Neodiprion lecontei: one gene and its partner. The protein of the gene in region 1 interacts with the protein of each later gene in a pairwise test. Links are inferred from orthologs where the notes say so. Each region holds a gene or a part of one and is shown on either strand. Other genes may lie near its edges. The genes, in order: RING finger protein 11 and rab5 GDP/GTP exchange factor.

The links.
Region 2: the proteins of RING finger protein 11 (region 1) and rab5 GDP/GTP exchange factor interact in binary tests that used the Homo sapiens proteins (3 or more experiments, as listed by UniProt). The link is inferred for Neodiprion lecontei from reciprocal best matches to the Homo sapiens genes RNF11 and RABGEF1.

What each region holds. Positions count from the first base shown.
Region 1 is NC_060264.1:30,665,946-30,675,978, reverse strand, and holds RING finger protein 11, read left to right. Parts: upstream 1-3,961; 5' UTR 3,962-4,626; coding exon 4,627-4,755; intron 4,756-4,983; coding exon 4,984-5,367; 3' UTR 5,368-8,517; downstream 8,518-10,033. Other genes in the region: nucleoporin Nup188, read right to left, coding at 1-683, 772-1,300, 1,386-1,510, 1,590-2,057, 2,258-2,468, 2,855-2,883; tetratricopeptide repeat protein 39B, read right to left, coding at 9,363-9,522, 9,645-9,875, 10,010-10,033. UniProt on the Homo sapiens protein: Essential component of a ubiquitin-editing protein complex, comprising also TNFAIP3, ITCH and TAX1BP1, that ensures the transient nature of inflammatory signaling pathways. Promotes the association of TNFAIP3 to RIPK1 after TNF stimulation.
Region 2 is NC_060261.1:2,396,400-2,406,215, forward strand, and holds rab5 GDP/GTP exchange factor, read left to right. Parts: upstream 1-3,644; 5' UTR 3,645-3,759; exon of another isoform or gene 3,760-3,837; 5' UTR 3,838-3,864; coding exon 3,865-4,034; intron 4,035-4,213; coding exon 4,214-4,332; intron 4,333-4,555; coding exon 4,556-4,813; intron 4,814-4,890; coding exon 4,891-5,020; intron 5,021-5,180; coding exon 5,181-5,278; intron 5,279-5,354; coding exon 5,355-5,611; intron 5,612-5,719; coding exon 5,720-5,851; intron 5,852-5,919; coding exon 5,920-6,180; intron 6,181-6,317; coding exon 6,318-6,761; 3' UTR 6,762-7,859; downstream 7,860-9,816. Other genes in the region: centrosomal protein of 131 kDa, read right to left, coding at 44-182, 242-405, 491-662, 731-987, 1,074-1,233, 1,307-1,524, 1,650-2,091, 2,250-2,349 and 2 more. UniProt on the Homo sapiens protein: Rab effector protein acting as linker between gamma-adaptin, RAB4A or RAB5A. Involved in endocytic membrane fusion and membrane trafficking of recycling endosomes. Stimulates nucleotide exchange on RAB5A. Can act as a ubiquitin ligase.

The DNA of each region.
Region 1 (10,033 bases):
ACTAGGTAATTGGACAGGATATCGAGATAAGCCGCGAGTATCGGGTACTTGTGCTCAATTGTCTCGATTCCTGATAACCAGGAAGCGACAAGCCCTCCGTCAAACGAAATTGCCTGAGCAAATTCAGGTGCCTTTTGATACCAATTATTGAACCAGGGGTAGACGCCGGTTCGCATGCGCGAGAGAATGTCTTCTGGATATTTTAGGATTAGTTTCGAGGATACATTTATACATTCCGCCACTATTTTGTATATGTTCATTGGCAGGGTCGCGTAAGAGAATCTGTTTATTACTTCGAAGCTTAGCTCCGTCGGTATCACCATACTTTGTACCAGCTCGACATTCGCAGTGAGCAGAGCTTCCAACAGCTTGAAGCCCTGCAACACTTGATCCGGCAGAATCGTCTTCCTGTCACTGACGTTCACAATCCCTCCGCCCGCTTCGGAAAACAGCTGCTCTATCTTGTAGTGAAAAGCGTCCCAGTAACTCGCTTTTGTAAACCAAATGACGACCTTCTTTTCGTTCTCCATTTCTAACGTGCTATTCCTAGATTGGCTCGGAATTCGGAACGAGTTATGGTGAATAATGCACTCTCGCTCATAGGGACGGAACTCCATATTCGTATCTTGAAATCGAGGAATTTCCAATGTTATTGAATCAATGTTATCCAGTTGTGACATCAGCTGAAACAAGACAAGACAAATGTTCCGATCAAACATCATGTTTTTGTTGGTGAAGAAAATGACGCTCTGCCATCTTGCTCAAAAGTACCTTTTCTGCACTCTTAGTTCCAGCCTCAGCCAAGCCAGTCGCGATGGCTGTGAGAGGTTCAAATTTGTGTGGAAAACAATCAATGGCAAGTTTGTACAAGATCCACAAAGCGTCGTCCCGTTCGTTCCAGAATCGTGCAGCAGTTTCTGGATACCTCAGCACGGATGCTGTTGCGTTGAAGACCCCCGGTAGCTGACTGATCCTGTCCTCCTCGATAAACGAGCAGAGAAGAGTGAGCAAATTATAAACGCTACTCCGGACTATCACGGAGTATTGAGTATCTTCTCGAATCATTTCACTGTCCAGTAAATCTTGAAGATAGTAGAACACGTTCAGCTGTATAGCCCTGATACCGAAAGGCCGAAAATTGTTCAACGTATCTAGATTATCTGACTCGATAGCATAGTTTGTGAGCATCCAAGCCAAGAGCAGAGGTCCATCTTGCGGCGTACTATCGCGGACGCACTTGTGCTCAAAAGTGTCTTGCATGTTACTTCGCACGCCTCGAATCCAGTCCTCCATTCCGCTGCTGAAATTTAAACAATAATTATTAATTTTATAGTACTGTCGCATCTATTCCTGTCTTGATTCAATTTTCTTGATAAACAACTTACTGTTTCATTACATCCAGTCCAACGAGAAGCAACGCAGTTTGACTGAATTGTATTTGACCCAGTTTTTTTGATATTGCTGCTTTGTCTTCGTGGCTTTTTGAACTTATCAAGCGCCTGGGTTCTCCCTATAACATATCGTTCCTTCTTTTATTATTATCGATACATAATATTCAAGCTAATTTTACAGTTTGAAGTATATCTCACGCTTATGCTTCCGTAAATTTTGACAAATTCGGTATCTGCAACGTGCACGTCATTTAAAATGATTGTAAAAATGTGCAGGAGTTCTCGCATTTCAATTAGGCAGTTATTGTACAGTTTGTGAAGTTGTTCTTCGTTGAATAGCTGGGATCTAACAGGTGTGTTTATGAATTTTAAGGCTTCGATCTGCTTCTGAACTGATTTCAATAAATTCCCTAGCAAGACTTCATCAAAAAATTCCATAAACTCGTTCCTATGCGGATGTCTCTTGTTGTCCTTATATTCTACCATCAGCTTGAGACATTTTATCAGCGTCACTCGCTCCGAATAATAAAAATCCCAGATCTCCTCAATTAATGCTTTTGTTGATGTTGCATCAGCCAATTGTGACGCAAAGGTCTCTGCACAGTTTCGGTACTCGTACAACATGAAGTTACACACAAGGTCCCAAGCGATTGTTGCATCTAAATTCTGATAGCAAAATAAAAATTTTGTAATCTTTAGTCCTTATTATACTATTTCCTCAGATGGCAAAGTATGTATGTTAAAAACAGATCAACCAGTCCATGAATTGTATTCTAATCAATATCAGCCATTGTTCTTTTTAACATGTATAAAATCAAGTTAATTTGTTCGCAAAAAAGTTATTTATTAATTTTGGAAGGACTAACCAGCATTGGCGACAATTTACAAATAATCGCGAACATTCTCGGTGGAGAATTTGTGCCTTGAACTTTTTTCAGTGAAGCTTCGGTATAAGGTTTGAAAAATTCAAGACCATTTTTGAGCAACTCAGTTGCGCTCTGTATCTCATCTTTGACCAGAGCCTTGTCACACCGGCAAGTAGTCCCTGATATTACAGACCACAAGCCTTTGCAGTACCTAAAAATTGAAATTAATGAAATCAGAATATAAGAAGAAATTAAACATAATTATTATAGTAATGTTTAGACTAAATGCAGCAATCCAGCAACATAGAACGTTTTTCAACATAAAATAAAAGATCGACAGAGGTTAAGATAGATTGTACTCGATGATAGAATCTAGGTAGTAAATGACAATTTAATCATTGTTGACAATAAAGAAAAAAATAGATTTTCTTTGAACTTAAGGTGAAGTTACTGACAGTGGCTGATAGATTTTGTAAGGAAATATAACCGGCCGATCAATAGAATCTAACCTATAAAAAGAGAGCAACGACAAGTTGTTTAATTATTATGATAATCAATTAGATTAGGAGAATTGTAATGACTAGGTATAAAACTTACGGCAAGTTTCCCATTGGCGCAATGCTCATTTCGCTGAATGTTTCTTATCCAATTTCAATGAATTAAATATCGGTTGTTGTCCTTGTTTGCTTTTGAGGTTACCTTACGATATCGTCGTAAAGCTGCACATTCACAACTCACAGCACATTTGTAAACGCGAAAGGTGGTTAATTACTATTGTGCAGTTATAAAAATACTTCAAGTATTTATATACACTCACACATGTATGGCGTAATACTGTATCACAAGACCTTGTTACGGACAGTACGGAAGACGAAAAATTCTTCGCGCCGTTTTCTCTGCTAGTCCCTTAGACCGGGTTTCCATGAACGAATTCGTCATGTTAGGTGTCCGCAGCGTCCTGCCACGTACAGAAATTTTGAAAACGGCGTCAACTCTGATTCAAACTCGACTGAAACGTGGAAGACCTGTCTTTCATGCAATTTTTAGAGCTTGGAAACTTTTCGTCTCAGAATCGTTTTGCAGGACTCGTTTTCCACTAATTGGACTCTGGGGAATGCAAAAAAACATCAAAAATAGTGTAGGACCAACAGGAGAGGAATTACAAAGGAAAGTTTGCATTTTTCGACTGTAACTCTCTTACATGTGTACATCAAGTGTAGCTGGCCAGTGAGAGCGAGAGAGAGAGAAAGAGAAAGAGAGAGAGAGGAGGGTATATGTTGGTTATAATCTATTTCAATCGCTCCACACCACCTGATCCACTGATGCGTTTCCTCTTTAGCCAATCAAATGCAGAGTGAGAGAAAGAGATTGACCCTAATATACATCCTTCTCTCTTGTTACTTTGGATACATTTTTTGGGATGGGTAGCTCCCTCCAGTAGTGTATGATCTAATTGTAAAGACGTGTTTACATGGTGCTAGAAATCGGACCGATTTCTCGGACCGAGAAAAAGTTACCAGAACTCGTATCGTGTATACACCAAACTCGGACGTAAATCGTGGATTGAAAACGCGGATGAATAATGGGACGCGATCCATTTTTTCATCCGCGTTTTCGATCCACGATTTACGTCCGAGTTTGCTGTATACACGATACAAGTTCTGGTAACTTTTTCTCGGTCCGAGAAATCGGTCCGATTTCTAGCACCATGTAAACACGTCTTTAGACACTGATCACCGTGCGCGTAGCTTTGTCAAACGTGAACTTGTTCACCTTGATAGTGATGTTAGGTCAATGGTCGATTGGAAGCCCAGCTTGACCAGCTGTGGTTCGTAATTCGTAATTCGTATGTGACAGAAGATGTCGTAGTCACAACAATCGTCAGAGGCACAGAGAAGATACGTGCATGTTATACACAGGCAGAGTGGTTTGAGAGTGTGTTAACAGTCAAATAATTCATCGGAATCGGGTGAACAGGGTAAAAACTTGGTAGGAACGCGGAGTAGCTGCTCGTCGGAAACGTAGAAACAAAAGTAAAACCATGAACAATGTCCGTAAACTGGTTACATCGTAAAACTGAGAAATAATAATAATGGAGGCTCGAAAGCGTGATCTAGCTTTACCGTAACCGAGAACACACTTTTTAGATTGCGATAACGTCACGGAGGAGTCACTGACTCATAAATGTTGTTTTCTCTCTTGACGTTAACAAAGCGAAGAAGCACGTCGCTCGCCAAACGGAGCAGTTAAGGTAGAAGAAAGAAAAGCAGTGCCTAAATTTAACAGCCAAGTAATAATAAAAATACAAGAAGGAACGGGTCGTTATTTTTTTATTTAATACAAAGTACACTAATAAATAATTTATCAATATGGGCAACTGCTTAAAATGCAGTGGAGGCGGTCAACAGGACAACACGACACTGCTAAACAACAGCCCTGATCCTGCGTTGACCGGCGGTGCCTCCCAGGAGGCTCTTGGCCCTCCGCCACCTTACAATGTAATTTTAGTTTACTTCTTGATCATCCAGATTCGATAAATACAATTCTTGGCTTCGTGGATCATATAGTCTCAAGGTCACCCTAGACGTCAATTATAAACTTAATTTCATCTGTTCATACTTTGTTTCAATTCTATTCAATTCTATAGAACAATTAATGGACTTCTTCATTGTTTCATAAAGTCGTTTGAAAGTACTGATTTAGAAAAATATCTTCTTAACTTACAGGAGATAGCGAGCGCTTACTATCCGCCGATGGGAACAAGAGACCGTCATCAGCAGTTGACCGAGCTTGGAATGGGACGAGGAACAGTCGGCATGAATCCGATCGGTAGTGTCGGTTTTAGCGAGGAAGAACAACAAGTTAGAATTGCCAAACGCATCGGACTGATCCAGCATTTACCCACTGGCGAATACGACGGTTCAAAAAAAGGAGAGTGCGTTATATGCATGATGGAGTTAATTACTGGCGAGGAGGTTCGTTATCTCCCTTGTATGCATACTTATCACGCGGTATGCATAGACGACTGGTTGTTACGCTCTTTAACGTGTCCTTCTTGCATGGAACCGGTCGACGCAGCCCTCATTAATTCTTACTACGCTACAACTTAATACAAAAATTACTTGCGAGGCAAAACTATTTTTTTTTCATTCTCTCTTCAATCGTAACATCGAGATGTCAGGGAGCACGGCAAATAGACTGTCAAAATGGAAAGGGACTGCACTTATATTGTTGAAGTAAATTCTCTTTAAGAATCATTGGTTTTAACTGCAAGCTTTAAGGTCAGTGCATTTTTATCATTTCTACTTGCCTAAGGTAATTTTGATAACAGCTGTAACAACTATAACAATCAACAAATGAATTGTTTAAGTAAAAGAAGGTCATATATTTACACATAGAAGGGAGTTTAAACCATTATACGTAACTTCTGAAACGAAAATTCCATACAAGTAAATATGTTCAATAACTTTTTATTGGTACGTGACGAGCGATTGATAACTTCTATGCGAGTAACGTTTTTCGATAGATATTGGAATAAGCTTAATCTACTTAGTGTTACAATATGAAACTTGAGTATTGCGGATGTAAATCCTATAGGTGCATTTTTTTTCTTTTTTTTTTTCTCTCCTCTTAGTAACTATTGCTAATGGTAAGGAAAAGTTTGTAAGCAATATGATTTTCAATAATGATCACGATTTGAATCCAAAGTCAGACATGGTATGTAAAAAGCAATTGCGCGTCGTGGTTGAAATTTGCATTAAATCGTATGCACATGTGTGCACGGATATGTTAGAGATGTTAGAATGGAATGTTAAAAGAAAAATGAACAAACTTGGTATTTTGCCTCAAATTATATCGATACATCACGCTTGGATTTCCGATTCTTTTTTTTACTCTACCCAAAGTATATTAATATCAGTTCACAAGTGGCAGTTATTAAAGTATATTGTTACGGAAAATAATAAATGTAACATAGGAAGTTCAATACTAGATAGTAAATAATATTAATTCGTATTAAAAATCGATTTAAGACTCAGGATATCGTCTTTATATCTCTGAAACGGAAAATGTAACTGGCAAAGGCTTAGCATGTATGCATAATATTGATGAAATAGAATATGATATAATATTTCCTTGATTATGATAGTGATAATAATAATAATAATAATAATAACAATGGAGAGCAAATATGCATTAGGCTAAGATATCAAGATGGTGTATACATAGGTGATATTTTTAAACTAAATTTCAAGAGGCGAATCGACAGCCTTTTGTACATCGTTTTATTAACGTAACTACTACCGCTAGCATGATTTAGGGAGGAAACAAAATGAAAAAAGAGAAAAAAAAAAGGTGATTAATTAGTAAGAAATTTATGTTGAAACAGGATTCTGTAATAAATTAAATTTTTTACAACAATGTGTATCCTAATCAAGTGTAATTGTAATTATAATAAGCTGCATTCTGTGACCCGAATTAATTTGTGATTAGTTATTGAATTCTGGTGCTATACGTATTATCGTTTTTATTTAATATTAGTTTATGTTTTTTTTTTTTTCGGTTTCTAATTTGTAAACTATAATTGATCGAACGTTTATTATTGGACTAGACACTAATAATTACTTGAAATTAAAAACACAAAGAAAAAAAAAAAAAAAGTAAAAAAAGTGCGACATCATTACGAAGAACGAAATTTTTCTTACGTAAGAAAGTAGATAAATATTACACATAAGTATGTATAGAGTAGATGCCGTCAAATTACATACTGTATAAATAACAAAACATAGTATCGTACTGACCTAAATATAATAGAATAGTAAAAATTACTATAAACTTTTGAAATAGCTATATTATAGCTTGCTAATAAATAAAAAATTATATATAAAATTATATACATATATATTTTTAAATAAATGGGGTTAAATCTGATAATACTGGTAATACCAACAACAATAATAGTAATAATGAATATCTTCGAGTATATAATTTGGTAATAAAAATACCTGTAAAAGACGTTATAATAAATCATGTGTGTATATAATAAATGCATACGTGATATTCGTAAATTGAGAGAAGGTAATAATAAATTCCATCTACACATACATATATGCATACATACATACACACATGCATATATATATATCATCTTTGGTTGTAATTCTTTTGTTCCTTAAACGTCAAGTTCCATTCAAATTCATCTATAATTGTGATTTGCATTGTGATGAATATACTTTAATCCTTTCACTTTATGTTACTCATTCTTTTTTGTGCTTAATTTATTTATTATTGCCCCGAATTTATTATTTGCAATTTTTGCAGCCTTTAAGCGTGTTTCAAAAGGTTTCAAAAGCTGTTTGACTGTTTGAAAGGAAGATGAAACGGAATTCGAGAAAGTAAAATAAAATTTGTAATACTTCATACAATGGTTTCCTTACTCTCTGCAAAAAGCCTGATTTCCTTGCTCTTGTTCTATCTCCTTAAATTTCTTTGATCCATCACACAAAATTCTCACATATCGATACTTCAAGACCTTTTTGATCATTTTTACCTTGCGAGGAGTTTGTAAAGTAAGAACTATTCAACATAAAAATTAAGTTGCATTAAACGAAGAATAAAGGAAAAAATGCTAATAATAACAATAATAACAATGGTCATAAAGATATCTTCAATATTGTTTTATAATAACGAACGTACAGTGACCCAATAAAATTTGCATATATAATTTATACGAGATCACAACAAGTAATACGCATTCAATGCGTATCAGGGATCCATATGTATAGCAATAAATACATCTCTAAGAATCTATTAAATTATTAAATTATTCTACCTAAACATTCTCTAGAAAAATATTTCGTTTCGTGTACAAAAATTTTTTCTCACATTCATTATATATTTATATTCATAAAGGATCGTTTGGAGATCGCGATATTCAAATTCGCTATTCTCACGATCACGGCTTCAATGCGCATCTAATTATCTAACAATTGTTAATTGAATAATCGTCCATATTTCTCAGTTGGAGATGTATTAGTGATGTTGTTTGTTTCTTAAATTATTTGGGAACGATTTACTGTACGAAGAATTAATAGAAAAATATCTTACAAAAACAACCTCAGCTGAAGATATATTGACGATGTTATTTGTCCGTTCAAATATTTGAGATCGATTTACTCTTCGTAGAATTAATAGAAAAACATCGTCGTTTAACATTCCAATTATTTGGAGTAAATAATTCTGTAAATAAACTAGATTAACATTGCAAAAAAAAAAGATTGCATAAACGTTATGAAGATCCGACACCTACATAAAATTGAAACGGCATAACAATAACAAAACTAATAAATTGAATAAATAACTAATTTTTCTCTTTTATCTGTGTAAAATAAATAATCAGCGATTCCGTTAGCTGCAGAAAATAGATACCAAAATCTAGAAAACCACATCCTGTTACACCAAAAACTAACTTATAGTAATTACATTATAATATTTAGCTCAAGGTTGAGGCGAAACTTAGGCTTTTTTTTTCTTGTGTGTAGGAACAAGTACGAACTATTCTATTGTTCACTTATATTTTTTTCTGTAAATTAATAACGAACTGTTGAATTTAATTTAAATTACAGCTATTTACCACTTTTTTCTACATATTTAGAATTAATTATATTCTAACTGTATTTGTACATGCAACACATCTGGCATATGTTTGCCCCATCGGTCATAAAACTTTTACAAAGTTCCCACGAAATCTACGCCTAAAAGCCTTCAACTATCTCGGGGAAATATGTATCTCCATGTACATCGCATCTACGCGGATTTTGCTTCAACCTGCATTTCTTTCCTTAGTATACTTTCTTCAATCGTTCTTGCTAGCCAAAGAATATCACCAATTCTGTTATAAGAGAGAATTATGAGTATAGAGAGAATAAGTTGGATAAACATCAACCGACGGAAAACAAGTGGAAGATTATCAAATTAATCGATAGTATCAGTAATCTTACACTAATAGTACGGCAGTTAACGAATTGAGAAGTTTCAATCGTTAATTGCAGTTATAATAATCGATGAATAAATTTTTAATAACAACCTTCTAGTGTATTAGGGACGTTTATAAATATGTAGATGTGCTAGCATCAGTTTCCTCTTCGCTGTTACCGTTTTCAGAAACCCCTATAATTTCTTCAGGTTTTTTACCAGTAAGTTCAAGCAGAGCGGAATGGATTCTGAAGTGAAGTCTCGACTCCAAAGAATAACCCGTGTAGTTTTTTCTGCAAGAAAATGAGAGAATAATGTGAAAAACAAGGAACAGTGACTAAATTTCATTTTTAACGGAGGAAAGAAACAAAAAACAGAACTGAATTAAACTCAGGGTAGTATAAATTACACGCACTTTGTATCCTCCAGAAGCGCAATGGCTAACTGCGGCTTGTCTTGATCCCTAGCTAGTAAGGCGAGCTCAACAGCTGCGAATGGAAGCAGATAAGTATCTTCCTTGATTTGCTTATCGAGGCGCAACACCTTCCGCAAACATTCTTCAGCCTGAAGGGGTTTGCGTATGTGCCGCAGGCAAGTTCCTTTCAGCAACAAAATGAGACCTTCGTTGTCCGCTTGGTAATCAGATCTTGTCGGAAAAGATGAAAGAATTTGCGATATTTTGTAGAAAAAATTTGAAATGAATAGTAAAATTTCGTCCGTAGATAAGCGAAGAAAGGCTGTGATTGAAAAAAATTATTGAAGTAGTTTAAATATACTAACGGTTGAAGTTTCAACGAAGTCTCC
Region 2 (9,816 bases), on another chromosome or scaffold:
GTGCGAGGGTTAAAATTAAAACATATTTATTTACACTTAATATCTATAAAGACTGAAGTATGTAATCCTTCCTCTGTTGATCTAATAATTTTTCCAGATGATCGCATCTCTTCTTTGCTTCATCAATCTCTTTGGCGAATTTCCCTATTGCCAGATCCTTTTGCGTTACTATTAACTTGACCCTACAACAATGAACATGAATGAATATCGGATAAAGTCGATAGAATTAACTATTCCTTACCTGCTATAAAGTTGAGCCATTTGAACATCTCTATTAGAATTATTTTCAGTAAGTTCGCGGTGAAGAGAGGCTATTTTATTCTCCAGTTCTCGTTTTTCCATCTCAATTTCCTTCCTAACAATCTTCTTTGCATCGTCTCTCTCAATCGTCAATTGATCTACGCTCTTGTTGAGAACGAATAAGAATTGTTTGTATTGAGTGCTTATCATATTCCACAACTGATTTCGACAATAACATTACACCTCATACCTGTTTAGAATTACTTAGCTGGATCATACACTGCTGAAGTTTTCCCTCAGTTATTTGAAGCTGCGTCGTAGTCTCTGTGAGGCGTTCCTGCACGGAGGTCACTTTACTTGTCAGCAATTCTTTGCTGTTATTCAAGTCTTGTAGCTCTGCCTCATATTTTTCTTTCATACATCTTGAACAATTTTAAAAGTTATTTAAAGTGGGTAACAATCAACGTGTATGAATGGGCACATTTAGTACCTGAGCCGGTTTTCCGAACTTTGCTGAAGACTAGTTTTCATGTCAAGAGTTTCCTTCTCGAGCCTTTCAATAGCCAGTTCTATTTGTCTGTCACGCTCTCGATTGCACTCATCTCTCAGCCGTGTTTCCATTTTTTCTAATTTCATATTGTGCTGTCTCCTGCAGTTTTCCATCCATGTCTCTTGTTCGACCCTAAGTGATTCTTGAACAGCTTTTTTCTCGATCTGATGCTGTCGTATTAAAGTATTGATTTTTTCCTGTAAACGATTGGGTTCCCGTTATTATTCTCATGCATCGTTGCTTGGTATAAGTCATTATTAGTTTCAGTATGACCTGAACGTACATTGAATTGTGAACGTGCTTGACTTATCGCAGCATCTCTCTCAGCATTGAGTCGTTTATGTTCTTGAGCTAGCAGATTTTTTTCACGTTCAAGATCGTCCAGCAGTTTGCGCCGCTGTTCTTGAAATAAATTCTCTTGCTGTTCTAGTTTCTCCTGATACCTGTGAATGTTATCAGACGGAATCTTTTATTGGTATCTAAGTAAGCTGCGTGATGTCTGAACATACATTGTACCTTGTTCTGAGAATATCTTTTTCGCTACTCAATAACTTTTCATGGCTCGCAGTTAGCTCAAGACGCAACTGCTCCAGCTGTTGATTTGAGCGGCGAATTGTCCGCAGCTCGGTATCCTGAAGCTCTTTGATGTGAGCACTGCGTATTTCTTGAAGCTCCTGCTGATGCTGCTCTACCATACTTCGCAGTTCTGGCTCTAGCCCCTTCACAGTCATTTCCTGAACAAGTAAAATGGAACAATTTGACTAGAGATTCGATACTAACATTTTTTTACCAACACATGTTTATATATTGATTGTGAGATAAAAGTTAGTTGTTCCACAAGCGTACATCTGATTAGCACCTTTATTTTAGAAGTTTTTGCTTCTAGCCAACGTTCGCGTCTGATCTTTTCAGAAGCGGCACAAAGTTCTCTAGCTCGTCGGAGTTCCACCGCGTGTCTATCAGCCACAACTTTTAACTCCCGATGATATTTCACTTCCATTTCTTTGATATGCTCAGTCAAGGAGTTGCATTTCTCAGTCAAATTTTTCTTATCTGATATTATTTGCTCGATAAATTTCTGATGCCTCTTTATCGTCGTCTGATATTTTGTCTTCTGAGTCTGCAGCTCAGTGCAATGCTGCTTTTTTTGCAATTCTAGCTTCTCGCAAGCAGAATGCCTTTGTGATTTTAATTCATTTTTTAAAATTTTTAAAGTCTCATCCCGTTCTTCCAATTGCAACCTAAGAGTCGCTAAATCGTCCTTTATCGTTTCAGGTATATGGGTTTGTGCGGGATGAATTCTGCAAGAAACATAAAACATTACCAACGGGATTCACACAAATCACACCTCGGTGCGAAAATCTTTGCACTCGCAAATAGCACTGCCTCCATATGAAATACTATACAATGCATATGCTAAAAACACAAATTCATACAAATTTTTGATGACCAATCTTACCCTTGATTGTTACAGTATGGAATAGATCGACTATTCAGTGTTGCTTCAATAATCTTTGAATGCGCGTAAGCTCGATTGTTTGGAACATCTTCTAGGTATCCTAGAAAGAAATGTAAAAATTCAACAGCTAAAGAGTTGCAGTATTCCCGTCATACCTTATACCATCACTGTCAGAGTCGCATATTTTACCTTCGTGGTTCAAAATCCCTAACAGGGACATGATGTCCTCGTAAGTTGACAGAGAAGACCCGCATGATTGATTGGAGTAATCTTTCTCCGGTTGAAGCTAATTGGGGAAGAAATTGTGATCAAAAGGTGTAAAAGCTAGCAGCAGTGTTTAAGCGCTCTAAATTCTGGAAATACAAGATATTTTCTCGAGCAATCGATACTTGCCTGATTGATGGAATAGTCTTGATCGTTTCCATAAAAGTGGCCCCCTTCGTTATTGACAAAACTTCCAGTAGTATTTGAATCGATATTCAGTTGTGCTTCATTTCCAGATAAATTTTTTTCCAAATCATTGATCATCGAGCAAAGCTGATCGAAGGAGCAAGAATTTGGCTCGATGACATTCTGATTAAAATCACTAGTAGTTTGCAGCTTTTTTAAGTCGTATCCAATGTTTTCAATCATAGCATTAATCTGATTGGGATGGGTCTCTGCTTCTTTCAGGTATTCGCCTTTTTTGGAATCCAGTCCTCCGTTAGTTTCGCAGAATCTTGACGGGTTTGAATTCCGTACGCGGTCTTCTGCGGAATTGCACCTCTGCATGGGCAAGCCATGTGCCATTCCGTTATCGGACATGGCAAAGTTACTAATCGGGGGCTTAGTGACAACCCTTGGATGCTGTATGTTGATCATTTCTTGCCATTTGCATTGTAATTAATTAAGGATTCCTTATACACTGACCACAACGTTCATTGAAACGTCAAGCCTTCGCTCGAAATTTCGTATGACGCGGTTGCTATGGAAACGCGAATGTCGCTCTTATTGCAGATGGCGTTTCAAGTATTGACTTCTTGTTGGTATAGTTCAGTGCTTAGAATTGACATAGAACTTCAACTGCATTTTACACAGAGAGGGTGGTCAACTTTGTACACCATTCATGAATATTGACTCACTTCACATGAGTTTCACAAGGAAGCAGAAGAAGAATCAAAGATGAGTTGCGAGATGACCAGCGCCTCCAAAAGACGTTTGACAAAATTAAACCAAACTACGGCCTTGCTCGGAGCAATGTAAATAAATTAATAGCACGACATTATCTGCAGCGTGCCGAAATCGATATTCTGTTACCGACCGCGACGCACGCTTCAGATAATGTCGCGCTACTACTCTATTCACACTGCGCCACGCAGAGACGTAGTTCAGTTTAATTTCGTAAACCAGGTTTTTGGGGGCGTTGGTCATTTCTCAACTTATCTTTGCCGTAGTTAGACTCTTCTGACGTGCTTGTGACGGACAGTCGATTTTTGACAGCTCACGTGAAGAGGTTATGTTCTCCTCGTAGGTAGGGGTTCAATTGTTTGCATTTCGCTTATTACGCAAATGCGTTAAGTAACCAAATTTGAAAACTTACTGCACCCAGTTGGAGTTTTACTCTCCAATTATCGACATGTACTCGATCAAGACGCCGACTCTCCGCATTGACGAGGCCGATTTAAAGTGCAAAAATGGTTGTGGATATTTTGGAAACGAAGAATGGCAAGGCTACTGTAGCAAATGTCACAGAGAACATTTGCAAAAGCAACGGGCTCAAAGAGAACACGCCCGCATTCACGAAAGGTATTTATTATACCAGTGCAACAATTCACTGACACATTGTAACATGCTATCAATCAAATGAATCATTCCAGGTATAACTACCGACACTACTTTCTATTGATAAGCCCTTTATTGATTAGGTCAATATTACTGGTAACGAATAATTGTTCGAACTGCGTTATATATTTACATTTTTTCAGTGATTCAAGCTCTAAGACTACCGTGCACGGTTTTTACAAATTTGAAGAAAAGAAGCGACAGCAAGAAAAGAAAACTAAACTATTAAAGCTGTCAGTCTTTCGCAAGACCGCAACGAAAAGTATGTCCTTATTTTAATGTCTCACATTTTATTTTCATTCTATGATACATCATTCTTAATTACGTTTCATCGATCTTTCAACTAAAGCAGAAACCTAATTATATAATAACAACCATAATAATATACTTCTAGACAACTGGTAAAGTTTTGGTGTTTCCATTCTTTCCTGTCATTCATTTTGATAAGATGTGAAACGTCATGATGGAAATATTCCTTATTTAAGCTCAAGGTTTTAGCGAGATATGGCAGGAGCTGGTTAAGGATAATCCTGAACTTGACAAAGTGAAATCGGAGACCCGTGACCTTCTGGTACAGATCGCTAAGACTCCGGCTGAGAAAGATGTACGAAAGTGTATTCATTCCTTCGTAAACAACATCTTACAAATGAAGGATATTAAGAGCGTTGAGGAGCTATCCGAACTAACTCAGAACTTCTATCAAGTATTTGCCAAGCGAATGGAAAACAGTCCCAATTATGCAGGTAATATTGCACTCTTGGTTATTCATGCGTAGGATATTCACAGAACTGCAGTAATCTCTATTATTATTAATTTTTAGATGTTTCTCCAGAAACAAAAGATCGACTACTAGACTACATCGAAAGATACACTATGACCTTACTCTATAGGATACTTTTCTGCCCGCCATCAACTACAGATGAGGACAAGGACCTTGCTATTCAAAACAGGTAACATCTCAGTTTTCCAATTCAGAGAATGGATGGAAACAGATAAGGTGAAAAATATGCTCAGTCAGTAACATCTTTCTAAACCAATCAAATCTGGTCAAGATTAATTTGATTTATGAATCAAGCTCGAGAATTTTTCTAATCAATCAGGAAATTTTAGAATACGGCAGTTGAATTGGGTGAGCGGAAAGAATCTGGAGTGTCGAATCCACGAAACTAGTTCTGACGTGAGAGAGCTTGTTTACACCTCAATAACAGGTAAAACAATCAAACTTCAAAGCTCAATCGGTCTGATTAATTTCACATAAATGTAACATAGTAACAATTGTTTCAGATTTATTAAATATGGACTCTGTAAAAGCACCGCAAGAGAAGCTTGCCTGTGTTGTTCATTGTTGTAGAAATATATTTGTACTACTGCAACAATCTGTTGGGGGTCCAGCTTCAGCCGATGAATTTTTACCGGCGCTTATATTCATTGTGCTGAAAGCTAATCCTGCAAGATTGAAAAGCAACATAAATTTCATCACCCGATTCTGTAATGCTAGCAGATTAATGACTGGTGAAGGAGGTTACTACTTCACAAATTTGGTATTAGTTCTACTCTGGGCTACGAAGAACCGCACAACTCAAAGCAATGAATATAAAATTTGCTGAAATCCATGCCTTCAAGAAATTTTATTCCCAATTTTGTTCCAGTGTTGCGCAGTATCCTTCATAGAAAATCTTACTGCCGAGTCATTAAACATGCCTCAGAAAGATTTCGATGCATATATGTCAGGAGCACGCGTTCCAGCGAGCACATGGGAATCTGCTCTCACTATGTGCGAGGTAATGATGAATACATCGTTGAAGAATAATTCCAACACTCTCATAGCTTACAGATTTTTATAATTTAGAGTATACACCTGATGTGCGAACACATAACACTGCTGGATGAATTGAAAGCGAAAAATTTGGAAATCATAGCAGAATCCGATGAGCTTAAGAAAAAAATGCAACAATTCCCAGAAAAAGTTGAGGCGGAAGTTGACGCTGCGATAACTCGCACTCCCCTTATTATCACGCCGAGTCAAAGGATACCGACTAATCTTGACTGCGTTGATGCAGAGAGCTACCAGCTACCACCACCAATTATACCACAAGTACAAAATATTGATGTAAAATCATTTGTTCCAAATTTAATATCAACTTATATCTGTAATATGAAATGCTGAAAATTTCTGTGAACTTACTTTCTATTTGCGAATACTTTTTAATCCTCACAACATTACTTTATCGCAGTATTCATCCACAGATTTACCCTCAAACCCTGAACGACGAAACAAATGAAACACTGACATCTCACGTTGGTGATTACAACGGACCTTCGATCGAGGATTGCATAACACCATCTCCAACTTTTGATTTCCCAGCCTTTGACTCAGATGGTGGTTTGCATGGAAGTAAAGGGGATGACGATACCAGCCTAATTAGCTTGGATACACAATGCGATCTTACAGCAGAAGAATCGTATCTACAAGACAGAGACGCCTCTGATAGTTTGCTAGACGAATCGCAAGCATCGGGCACTAATTTACCATCGCCTCTAAAACCAGTTTGTTCTCTACGTGAAGATTACCATGGATTCTCAATCCAAGGTTCTAACATTCCCACGATCCCGTGCAACACTGGTGATCTTTCTCACAACACTTCGGACTTGGAGGCAGATAACTATTCTGGCTACTTTCACAACATTTGAACGATTTGCAATTTAAACATACACTTGATTAATTTCAACCATAACATATATATCTAGATATGCACATTCATACATACCATACATATAGATATATATACACATACATATAGGTATATATACACATACATATAGGTATGTATACAGTAGTATGCAGGAATTAAGATGTAACTTGCATCTTATCTAGTCAGCTTCGAAGGATTGGATCGTGTCTTGTATCGATGGCGAGGTAACGTCTGAGATTATCGCTTTGTTATTCAAGATCCAATGAAATCAGCAATATTTCTAATATAACTTACAAATCAGATGCTGGATTAAAAACTATAGGTTTCAAGCTAGGATATTTGCACTGCTATGCTTACAATTATCTTATAGATTCTGCTACAGTGAAAAGTGAAAAAATGACAAGTAGGTGCTACGTTACCAAGACACTGCATCAAAAGTGATCAGTATACATTCTGGAGTAGATCATCATGTAAGTAGGCTATAATCTGAATTTAGATATAAATATTTACCATTTTGTAGCTACAGTTGTCATCATTTTCTCCAATTTGTGAGTTGACCACATTTTTATATACATCACAATTTCAGTGCATGTCAAAAAAACTGATATTCCAAACTTATATGAATATATAATTGCTAATGCCGTACTTTAATAAATTCAATTATAATCAACTAGGTGGTAGTCATTTGTAAACATTAATTATTTTCATATCGGTTTAACGATCAACCTTTGTCACTCACACTCAATTTGATTTCAGAGATACTGCACTAGACTAAGTGAGCGAATTGTGTCAGTCATCATTTTTCTTTTAATCCGATAGGTCCATCCTGACTAACAATAATATATATTTAAATGAATTTGTCTTGATATGAGGTAAAAAATATATTTTCATTAGAATTATAACGAAAACTAATATTGGTTATTGTAATTGGCACTTTTAATCGAAACTTATATTCACTATACATGGGTATACAAAGAGTGTATGAAAATAATTTTAAGGCCTGTACAAATAAATTCACGTATCGTATGAAATTTATTTATAGTGGTGTAAACCAAAAATGAAGTATAAAGTCAATACATGTGGTTGGAATACAGAATTTCGGCAGAATTTATTGTTAGTATGATATATAGCAACATTGAATTAGTGAATTGTGCAAATCGTGTTTTTTTTTTTTGTACATCACATTGACTAACTGATATCAATTACATATTTGGTCTCAAAGTCTGATTAGAATTCAAATTTTTTAATCTCTTACGGGCAGCTAGTTACCGGATTATAAACGTGACAAAAGTTAAATATATATAAACTATTTGTTAAACTATGATTGTACAGAAACCTAAAGAAGTGTGTTTGGAATGTGAAAAATATGTGCTACCTCACGCAAAGATTTTCTTAATTATTGAAAGCCAATGATACAAATAAGTTTGTACTTGGAGAAATTCTGTTATAGAACCATTTTATTACCTAATATCAGTTAAAGTTCTGTTTTCGGTATAAGTTTCACATTTTTTCACAAAGCCCGTTAAAGTGTGTCAAATATTTTTAATGCAGTTTGAGTTTATTTTTTAATTGGTGAACTTACAATATTTACAATTATCAAACATAATATCATCGTTGATACATAAGAAATAAGTCTTTATGCCAGAGAGTGTAGACAGTGTTAGTGTTAGTGTTAGTGTGTTATAATTTTTATATATTCATATTTATTCTCATCTCAACTACCAACTGATTGCCGGTAAGTAAAACTGAATCTTATATAAAAGTTACAAAAGTATTGCAATCAGTGAAAAAGTATACTATATTATTGCAGAGTAATGAATGAAAATTCCATATCTATAATATCCTCAAAGTGTAATAAAGACACAATAAAGTGTTACAGAGTTATAAAACGAGCGAAGAATTTCAGTATTCTGCAATAACATATTTGAATATCTAGAGTTCATACTAAAAAAAATACCTACAAGATCTATGTAATCGCATTATCACTAAAATCTACCCTGTTTCATTAGGTTATCAATCTATCTAATTATAAATAGTATTACAAGATATTGATTCATTTTTAACAGTAGTCGGTGAATAGAAAAATAATTACATAACGTAACGAATAAAGTACAATAAGCCTTGTTTTACACTTTCGTAGAAAGTTACTACTTTTACATTAAAAATCTATAGTATTTTCTATACCTTCGTCGAGTATAGAATATGCCCATTCGCGTCTATCTACTTTCTATATCTACACAAGTTTACTGGGCAAAACGAACTGGGGATGCCAAATGAAATATAAATGAGACGAAGGTCTTATCGTACATATAAATACTCCTGTCTCATTTATATTTGATCCAAACACTGCTGGAATTATGTGCAACAAGCATTTCCTAAAGTTGCGCTTATTAATTAAATAATGTCACACACTATTTTGTACCTAGAAACTGCTACAGTCGGCTAAAATATAGGTAGACTTGCTTCTATGATTATACATTGCACTTAATTACGTTTACATCTATTGATGTAAATTTCATCACAAGAACTACAATGTGCCTGACTGCAACTGAATTTTTTTATCGTAACAAGTTTCTACTTAAATCAGGAATTAATATTTCTCCACTTATGCATAGTGGATTTAAGCATTCTATACCATGTTATTTTCAAATTTACAATTTGGTAAAATTTTAACCATGAATTTTATGTATTTATACTTTCTCAAACACATTTTCGCTCAAGTAAATTTAACTACTTATATGTATAATACATTGGATTGAACGCATTAATTCTTGATAAACGGAGAGTATATAAAATAATTTGAATATCAATCGAGTATTGAGTAACTTTTCAGTAACAACTGAGAAAAAAATTATATGCAATAAAAATCGTTTGAAACACATGATTTGAATCGTTCCGTTTAGTAATTTGGAATAAATTATAGATTTACATCCAAAATTTTTAAGGCGTTCCATAGATGCAATACATGGAAATCTTCAAAACTTTTTTAATCGGTAACGTCAATCTCAATGTTTATGCGTTGAATAAATAAAAAAAAAATATATATATATATA